Linked DNA regions of Callithrix jacchus. The protein of the gene in region 1 interacts with the protein of each later gene in a pairwise test. Links are inferred from orthologs where the notes say so. Each region holds a gene or a part of one and is shown on either strand. Other genes may lie near its edges.

Region 1 (3,987 bases):
TCCCTGTCTTTACCAAAAATATAAAGAAAATTAGCCGAAGACGGTGGTGCCTAGTGATTGGGGAGATTCAGGTGGGAGGGGATTGCTTGAGCCCAAAAGACCGAGGCTGCAGTGAGTGGAGATTGTGCCACTGCACTCAGACCTGGGCAAGAGTGAGACCCTGTCTCAAAAACAACAACAACAAAACAAAAAACTTGTCTGTGGGGTAGACTGTATTTATTTTCAATCATATTTCTTTTCCTAATACTCTTTTGTGTAGCCTATATTGTAAAATGAGGTTGAGGTGATTGAACACACTGTTAATAGAGTGAGGAAGTGGTTAGAGTTAAAATTTCTTGCTGAAAGTGGGTAATCTGCAATTCCCTACATTGGGTTGATTCCTCTCTGCCAGCTCTTGCTGCATTTAGAGGCTGCCCTAAGCATGATGTAATGACAGGTTAAACCTCTGCACGCACTAGCTGATGCAATGCAAATCTGAGGCCCAGGACTTTATTGGGGCAAGGGTAATGCTTGTTTAAAAACAAAACAAGCTACTCTGCGTTTAATGAGGCCATTTAAGATGGCTTTCCCAGAGTGGGAAGAGAGTATACTCTCTTAGGAGGTTTAAGTAGGAGTTTAATGTGGCAGAAGTATGCTTACTACTTTTCCTGCAAAGTGTTTTCGCAGCGGGGAAGGGGAATTTAAAATACATTACCGATAGGAGAAGTGAAGTGAGCTAGAATTGAGGAAATTAGTAGTTGATGCCAGTAAATAGCTGTTGAATGAATTAGGGAGAATGTTTTCACTCCAAAATTTTAGAGTTCGGATAAACGTAGAGCGGAGCGCCAGTGTGGCCACGCATTTCAAGATACGCTGTAGCTCTTAGATTGAAACCGTAAGAAACTCCTGATATGAGACTGTTCTGACACACCGAAAACGGCATGGTTCCACCTAACTTTAAACTGGTGGAAATGCTGAGGAAGGCTCGATGTCGCTGGGGTGCGGTGGTATGCGGTCCATGGCGGGGTGGGGTCCATGGCGGGGTGGCACGGGGTCAGAGCTGCGGGGTCCCGCGGCCCCGCCCTGGGTTGTGGGGCGGGGCTTGCGGGCACGGCCCCACCTCTGCGCGAGCGAGACGGGCACCGCCCTGCACGCTGCGCGCCCTGGACTGGCCCTTGGCTCTCCTGGTTGGAGCGGGCGTTCCCGGCGCAGGCCCATCCCCAGCTGGCCGAGGCTCCAAATGGCTCTCCCGGCAGGCGGGCTCCTGCAGTAGCCCCTGAGCTGGCTCAGGGAGCGTACTTCCTTCTCAGCCAGCGGGTCACCCCTCCACCAGAGCCGAGCAGGAGCCTACCCAGTGAATCTGGAGAAGACAAACTTGGGAGACAGACGAAGGCTTAGGGCATGGTGGAGGACAGCGCAGCTGTGGCTCCCATTTTCGGAGATGCAGCCGAATTTGAGCTCACGGGGAGGTGTGGTTGCCTCCTGGGGATGGAAAGGCTTTCTTTCTCCACCTCTGTAACTGGTGCTTCTGAGAAGTGAAACGATATTTGGATCCTGACCTCAGACGCCAATTTGGGTCTTTTGTGTTTAGGAGCAGAAAGTGCCCAGGAGGGTCCTGTACCTTTACTTCTTGGAAAAGGCAGTGAGCTGCCTGAGTTCTCATGACGGGAAAGCCTATTCCACCTTCTCTTTACTCCTGGAGGGGAGTCTTGTTCACATGTTTACCGGCGACTAGGACAAGGAAGAGAAAAGGTATTGACATTAACAGGATGGGTTGCTGAGGCTGTGAAACTTGAACGCTGTTAGTCAGTGGAACCTGCCTGGCTTACGGAATGGCTGCAGCAGAATCGAGCTGTTTCCTAGGTTAGCAGTCATGTTTCATTTGGGCTGTTGTGCTTTTTTTCTGTTTAAATCAAACTTCAGGTTACGTCATGACTTCTGCAGGGCTGTCCTTGGTTCCTACTGCAGGGCGGCTGTGTGGTTGGGATTCCTTTTCTGTTTCAAGATGGAGCTGGGTAGCACCTTTGGAGCTTGGAGAGGCTTTAGCAGTTGCTGTCCTGTATACCTCCATTTACAAGAAATCCTGTTCCCATTTCGGTTTTCACACTTTGAGTAAGAGTTAAAATCTGCTTTATTACAGTGTTTGGAAAATGATAAAGATATATTGTAATGTGAGCCTGAACTGTTGATGATAAATGTATAACTACTGCTAGGTCAAGAAATTGAAAAATAATGTTTTGATTGGTCTGTAGCTGTGTTGTGTTAAATATAAACTGAGTTTACTGCCCTTGGATGTGATTCTCTGGTTTGGTTTGGTAATTTGAAAGGTATTGGTTGCCTAGACTGTTTTGTGCCCAAGGAAACACTTTCTAATTGTTATGCTGTTAATTCAGTAAGCAGCATAAACTGGACCATGCAGTAGGCATACAGCATACAGCCAGGATGTTTTGGCAATGCTGAGCCCACTGTTTTACAAGTGACATAAAATGTATGGATCATCGTATGTACAAAGAATCCACTCAGGGAAACCGGATTACAGGAGAGTTCCTTTACAGTCCTTTTGTCAGGGTACAGAACACCTGGGTTACACAGGGCTTCAGATGAGAGTTGATTCATGATCTGAGTCTATATGATGAGACACATTATGATGGAATTGTCACTTTTGTTGCCTCTTGAACTTTAAAATATATCTTTAGTGATGTGGAATTAATCTTTATTTTTCCTTCACCCTCAGCCTTCATTTAAGGTATCAGTTGGTAACCACCTGAGTAATCTAGAACCCAAGTTGCATTTACTTGGTCATATTGGTAACTAACATTGTTTCTCAAAAGTTTCTTGCAACAGAATAATGACTATAATTGAGATAAAACATTAACTTTAAGGCTTTAACTTTGTAAGAATATGGCTTAGTATAGTTACTAGGAGTGTATTCTTAGGACATCGACCGATCTATTTTTTCACCCCCAAGACAAATAGTGGCCTCCTATATCCCAGCCCAGGGAGCTCTTTGGGATGAGTTACTTGTTTTATCTTTGACTCAGCCTGACTAGTTACATTGTCGATCATTTCTTCCAGATGACATTTATCTGTCAAATAATGTTGATTAGTCTGCTGATGAATGTTTAAACAACGCTGGAGAACCCTAGGCTAAGGGGTTCTACACCTGTTGACTCCATCCCCCACTCCCAGTGTGGTGTGTCTCTGCCGTGCTATCTGTATTCTTCCCCTGTTCAGTTTCTCCCTGACTCTCCTTCTTTGTTCATTATGTCTGATTTATATTGTGGATTGCAAATAGAGAAAGATATGCTTTCTCTACGACACCAAAAAGTTTTATTTGAGATGGCTCTCCATTTCTCCCACGTCTCCCTTCACTTTTGCTGTGTTTTTATTTATTTTTATATTTTTGCTACCTTCACTAGAGAGTACATCCCCTCACTCTTGAGGTGGGCACTGATCAGTAGGAAAGAAGATCAATACCTGGCTGATGATAATTTGGGGGGCAGATTGATAGATAAAGGGGATGGCAGCAGATCTTTCCCCTTGTGATCCCTCCCCTCATTCCTAAATTACACCTCTAGAGTAGGTAACTGCTCACCATTAAGAAGAGTTAATGGAAGGCATTTGAACTACACTCATCCCGTGGTATCCTCGGAAGATTAGTTCCAGGATCCCCTTCCCCATACCAAAACCTGAGGATGTTCAAGTCTCTGATAGAACATGTTATCATATTTGTATATAACCTGTGCATATTCTCCTGTATAATTTATCTCTGGATTACTTACACTTAATACAATGTAAATAATAGGTAAATAGTTGTTATATATGTTTTATTTTAAAAATTTTGTATTATTTTAAAATTTTTCTGAATATTTTCAATCCATGGCTGGTAAATAGTTATATATGTTTTATTTTAAAAATTTTGTATTATTTTAAAATTTTTCTGAATGTTTTCAATCCATGGCTGGTGAAGTCCTCAGATGCAGATTCTGTGGTTACAGAGTGCCGATT
Region 2 (4,257 bases), on another chromosome or scaffold:
TCTGAAGAGTTTTAAGTTAGCAAATGAGAAGTATTTCGTTCCAACTTTTTGGGAAGGCAGAATAAGAAAGAGCAATGGCTTCGGAGATAGACGACCTGAGAATTCAAATTAAATCTCAGTTGTCCACAAGCTTAGATAGCTGGGATCCTCAACTCCCTCCCTGAAAAATGAAGACACGAACATCTTCCTTACCGGGATGCACGTGTGAGGATGAAACCAGCGCCTTGGAAACTTTAAAATGTTATGCAAACTTAAGGCCTTATTAGAGTTCAGAGATACCATAAAATCTATCTATCACATGGCACGCTAAGGTTTGCAGGGCTGACCCACGCTACGATTTAGTGCCGAAACAGCAACTCCAATGTGACTAACTGCTGAAAACATAGTTGCATTAGAGGCAAACACAAATATAACTCAAAAAAAAAAAAAGCTTTCATATAGCCAATGATAAGATGGTCAGATTTAAAAATCAAAGCTTCCTCACAATCACGTAATGTCAGACTCAAGACACTTGTAATCTTGGAGTTACATAACAAAGCATAATTAATATTTAAAATGATAAAGCTTTGCATTCTGAATATCAGCCTGTGATTTACGAGAAAAATGTTTCAGTCTTAAGTAATCTAAATCAACAGTAAGACAAGCATCTGAGCAGCACCTCCTCTTTCCTTCACCTCCTCTTTTCCTTCCTCACATATGAGAACTATATTCTTACAAGAATTACTTTTATGAAAAGTAAGGTTATCGAGTTTAACACCTTAAAAAAAACTAAATGGCAACATTTTCCCAATAAATATCTGTTTCAAGTAACTAGAAGCAATTAACAGTAGTAAAAACACAGAATCCAAAAAATTCTGGATGTTTTAGCAACACAATACTATGGCAACATGGCAGAGAAAATAATTCTGACTTTTAAAATAAGATAACACACTGTACTTTTAGTTTAACTGTTCCTTAATTGAGTACAACCTAACTTTGATTCAGCTTCATTTGGAAAAATGCACTTGAGTTCACACTCGAGAATATTTCCAATGCCATGCACGGATCTCATGCAACGTACAAAGAAATTTCTTTCACAGAGATGACAGCCCAGCAGGCAATAAAAGATACATGTAAATCATCAGGCACAAGGAGTACCAACTCAACTGCAGAACTGTTCAGAGGGCACACAAATCAAACTTAAATTCTCTTCCTTGATTTAGGAATGCATGCCCATTACTTTTTCACGAGTCCATTTTATTAAAGAAATAAAAATAAGCCTGCCATTAAAATAAAATGGGGGAGCTCCATAAGCCTATTTCTGTTCAACAATTCAAACATTCTTAAATTCTTGGAGACAGTAAGAGTCTCTCCACCTCCATCGGTGGACCGCGCACACACACCCTACTCTGAAGAACTGGCTGAAACAGGCAAATACTGGAGGTCACTGTTTTAAAATATAGGTTTCTATATACAAATAGAATATGTCTGCCTCATCTTTCACTTCCAACAATAAAGGAGCCACGGCGAGCATTAAGAGCAGTAGCCCTTATTCATCAAGGGAACTACAGACTTTCAGTGCCCAGTAATTCATGCAAAAGGTAACAGATCTGACCAGATTACGTTGCTGCCATTTCCCAGAGAAAAGGCAGACCAGTGGCCCCCACACCCATCTTCATCTGAAACACGTATTCCAGGAAGGGTAGAACACTGCTCCTGGGAAGGAAGGCTTAATTTACCGGGCATCCCAGCGGATGATTCAGGAAGCCACAGGAGGAGAAAGCCAGGGGAACAGGGTCCCGGGTAGGCGTGCCTCCAGAAACCCCCGTATCCCTGTCCTGCGGTACTTCCCAGGACCTTTCACACCCTGAGCTGGCTGGAGTCGAGTGAAAATGGCAAAGACTCCTTCCTCACCGCTCCGAACCTCAAGCCCGCCACCAATGAGGGTCACCCAACCCGACGCCCCCAGGAAGGGTGCTCTTTTGCCGGCCTCTTCTCCCCTCCTGACTTCTCCAAGGGCCAGCCTGCAAGGCTTGGCATGGGCTGCTCACCCCTGGGGAGGGCTGGCTGCCCCGCCAGGGCTGCTGGTGCCTGGACACAGGAGAGACAAAGGGCTGGGAGGGGGAATTGGGCTCCTCCCCGGGACCACCGAGCTCTTCTCCTCTCAGGTGCTGGGGTCTGACCCCAACCCTCTTCCAAGGTCCCCAAACTTTGCTAACAATCCAAGCACCTGTTCCCTTCGCCTCTTCTGCATTTGAGCCCCGCAAGTCCTTCCATTTTCCTCCAGCTTTTTCTCCAGTGCCTTAGACAAACCAAACACCCTACTTCCCCAAGTCCATCACGCTCCCCTTCCACGAGATAATTCAACCTTGTCCCCAACAAAGCCCCCAATGGTCACTGTCCCCCACCCAGAAGTTTCCCCTGGGTGTCCCCGAGTCTCCAAAGATTTCCTTCAAGTCTCACTCATGAACCCCAGCCTTCTCCGTCCTTTCCAAGCCCCCCAAATTCACATCTGGGTCTTGCCCCAGGTGTCCCACAGCCTCCCAGGTCCCCGCGCAAACGCCCCCGGGGGCCGCCCGGGCCTCCGTCTCCGCCTCGTCCGCTGACAGCAGCCGGCACGGCGGCGCCCCCCGGACCCCGCATTTCCACCCGGCCCCCAACCGCCGCGGGCAGGCAGTTAACGGTCGGCGCCTCACCTTGGTTCACCAGGCGCAGGGCGTGCGTAAAGGAGGGGTCCAGGGAGTCCTTCTCCGCCATCAGCTCAGGCAGGTACTTCTCCTCCATGCTCGCCGGCCGCCGGGCCCGGGACGCGGACTCCAGGCGCACGGGCGGCAGCGCCCGGCAACCCCCGACCCCGCCCGCGCCCCCTGCGGCGCGGACCCGGGGGCCAGAGGCGGCGGCGGCGGCCAAGCCGGGCGGTCGGCTGGGAGGCGGCGGCGGCGGCGGCTGCGGCCCGGGGGCGGGAACCGGCCGCTCAGCCCCTATCCCCGGTGGCCGCCGAGTGCCCAGCGCCGGCGATCCCCGCGCTCTGGTCGCGGGCGGAGGACGAGCGGGAGCGGGCGGCGCGGTTAGGAGAGCCTTCGGGCCGGGCAGGTAACGTGCTCCGCGACCCCGAGGCAGTCCACGGCGAGCCCCGCCAGCCCCGCCAGCCCCGCCAGCCCCCGCCAAAACCAAAGCCACAACCGCGACCTGCACGCCGCGCGCCGCCCAGCGCACTCTGAGCCGCGGCTCCTGGAGCCCCGCGCCTGCCGCCAGCCCCGCCCCTCCCGGCTCCGCCCCACCCCGCCCGCCCCACGCCCCACGCCCCGCCCCCGCCCCGCCGCGCCTGCGCACGGCGCCCACTCGTGAGGACGCTCCCGGCTGCGAGCCCGCCGCGACTAGCGAGGCGCTTGCGAGGAGGGGCGCGTCTAAGGGCCCCTCCCCCGCGCCCAGCGCCCACCTTTGGCCCTGAGGGTCGAGTGGGGAGCCCCACGACGCTCTTACAGCCTTCCAGAGGCACGGGCTGGGAAACTGGGGCTCAGAGAGGTCAAGTGGCTTGCCCAAGGTCACCCAGCGAGTGATCTGGGAAGAAGGTACAAGGGCCGAGCTGGGAAGGGCGCCCGAGTTCGCCCCAACCGCGCTCTGCGGAATGGTAGAGGGACCGCCCGCCCTGCTCTCTAAAGCTCCCTGGACTTCTCTAAGTTATGTCGCGTTGCTGTCCCCTCGTATTTACCAAAGAGTAAGTCAGGGGCGCCGTCCTTTCTCCGCGCCTGAGCTCAGAGCGCCAACCTCCTGAGACCCTGCAGCTCAGAGGTCGGTTACGTAAAAGCGCGTGCCCTTCTGGGCGTCTTTGTCATCCCGACTTGCTCCTTGGTTGCCATTCTCGTAGGTCATAAACCGGCTGTGCCTGGACGCAGATGAGTGAGCCGCGTCTGGGCTCATCCGCTCCCGGGGAGAGGCCCTGGGACGCCCCGCCTGCCGGTGGCAATGCCCTCTGTCCCCTTCCACCCACCCCCAACCCCCAGCAAATGCTCTCCCAGCCCATTTCAGATTTCCCGAGGCGTGTGGAATAAACGTCCCCCAGGAGGCCAAGGACTCCAGTCCTTGTCCTGCCATGTTTCCTGCCTTTTAACACCCAGCTCAAGTTCCGGCCTCAATGTCACCTTCCCTGGCAGCCTCTCAGGACCTCCCTGGCAAAGCCACTCACTTCTCGGTGTCTCCCCAGCTTGGTCAGAGGTCATTCACAAACAGCTGTAATTCTGTTTTCCGTGGGCCATGAGCGTCTCGGGGACAGAGCTT

The links. The genes of interacting proteins can lie anywhere in the genome.
Region 2: the proteins of SIAH1 (region 1) and KHDRBS3 interact in a two-hybrid assay, tested with the Homo sapiens proteins (3 studies listed by BioGRID and IntAct). The link is inferred for Callithrix jacchus from reciprocal best matches to the Homo sapiens genes SIAH1 and KHDRBS3.

The regions. Positions count from the first base shown.
Region 1 is NC_133521.1:6,077,585-6,081,571, reverse strand, and holds the start of SIAH1 (E3 ubiquitin-protein ligase SIAH1), read left to right. Parts: upstream 1-1,178; 5' UTR 1,179-1,640; coding exon of another isoform or gene 1,641-1,731; 5' UTR 1,732-1,811; coding exon of another isoform or gene 1,812-1,842; 5' UTR 1,843-1,910; coding exon 1,911-2,091; intron 2,092-3,987. UniProt on the Homo sapiens protein: E3 ubiquitin-protein ligase that mediates ubiquitination and subsequent proteasomal degradation of target proteins.
Region 2 is NC_133517.1:61,926,205-61,930,461, forward strand, and holds the start of KHDRBS3 (KH domain-containing, RNA-binding, signal transduction-associated protein 3), read right to left. Parts: upstream 2,811-4,257; 5' UTR 2,764-2,810; coding exon of another isoform or gene 2,676-2,763; intron 1,877-2,675; exon of another isoform or gene 1,726-1,876; coding exon of another isoform or gene 1,719-1,725; exon of another isoform or gene 193-1,718; intron 1-192. UniProt on the Homo sapiens protein: RNA-binding protein that plays a role in the regulation of alternative splicing and influences mRNA splice site selection and exon inclusion. Binds preferentially to the 5'-[AU]UAAA-3' motif in vitro.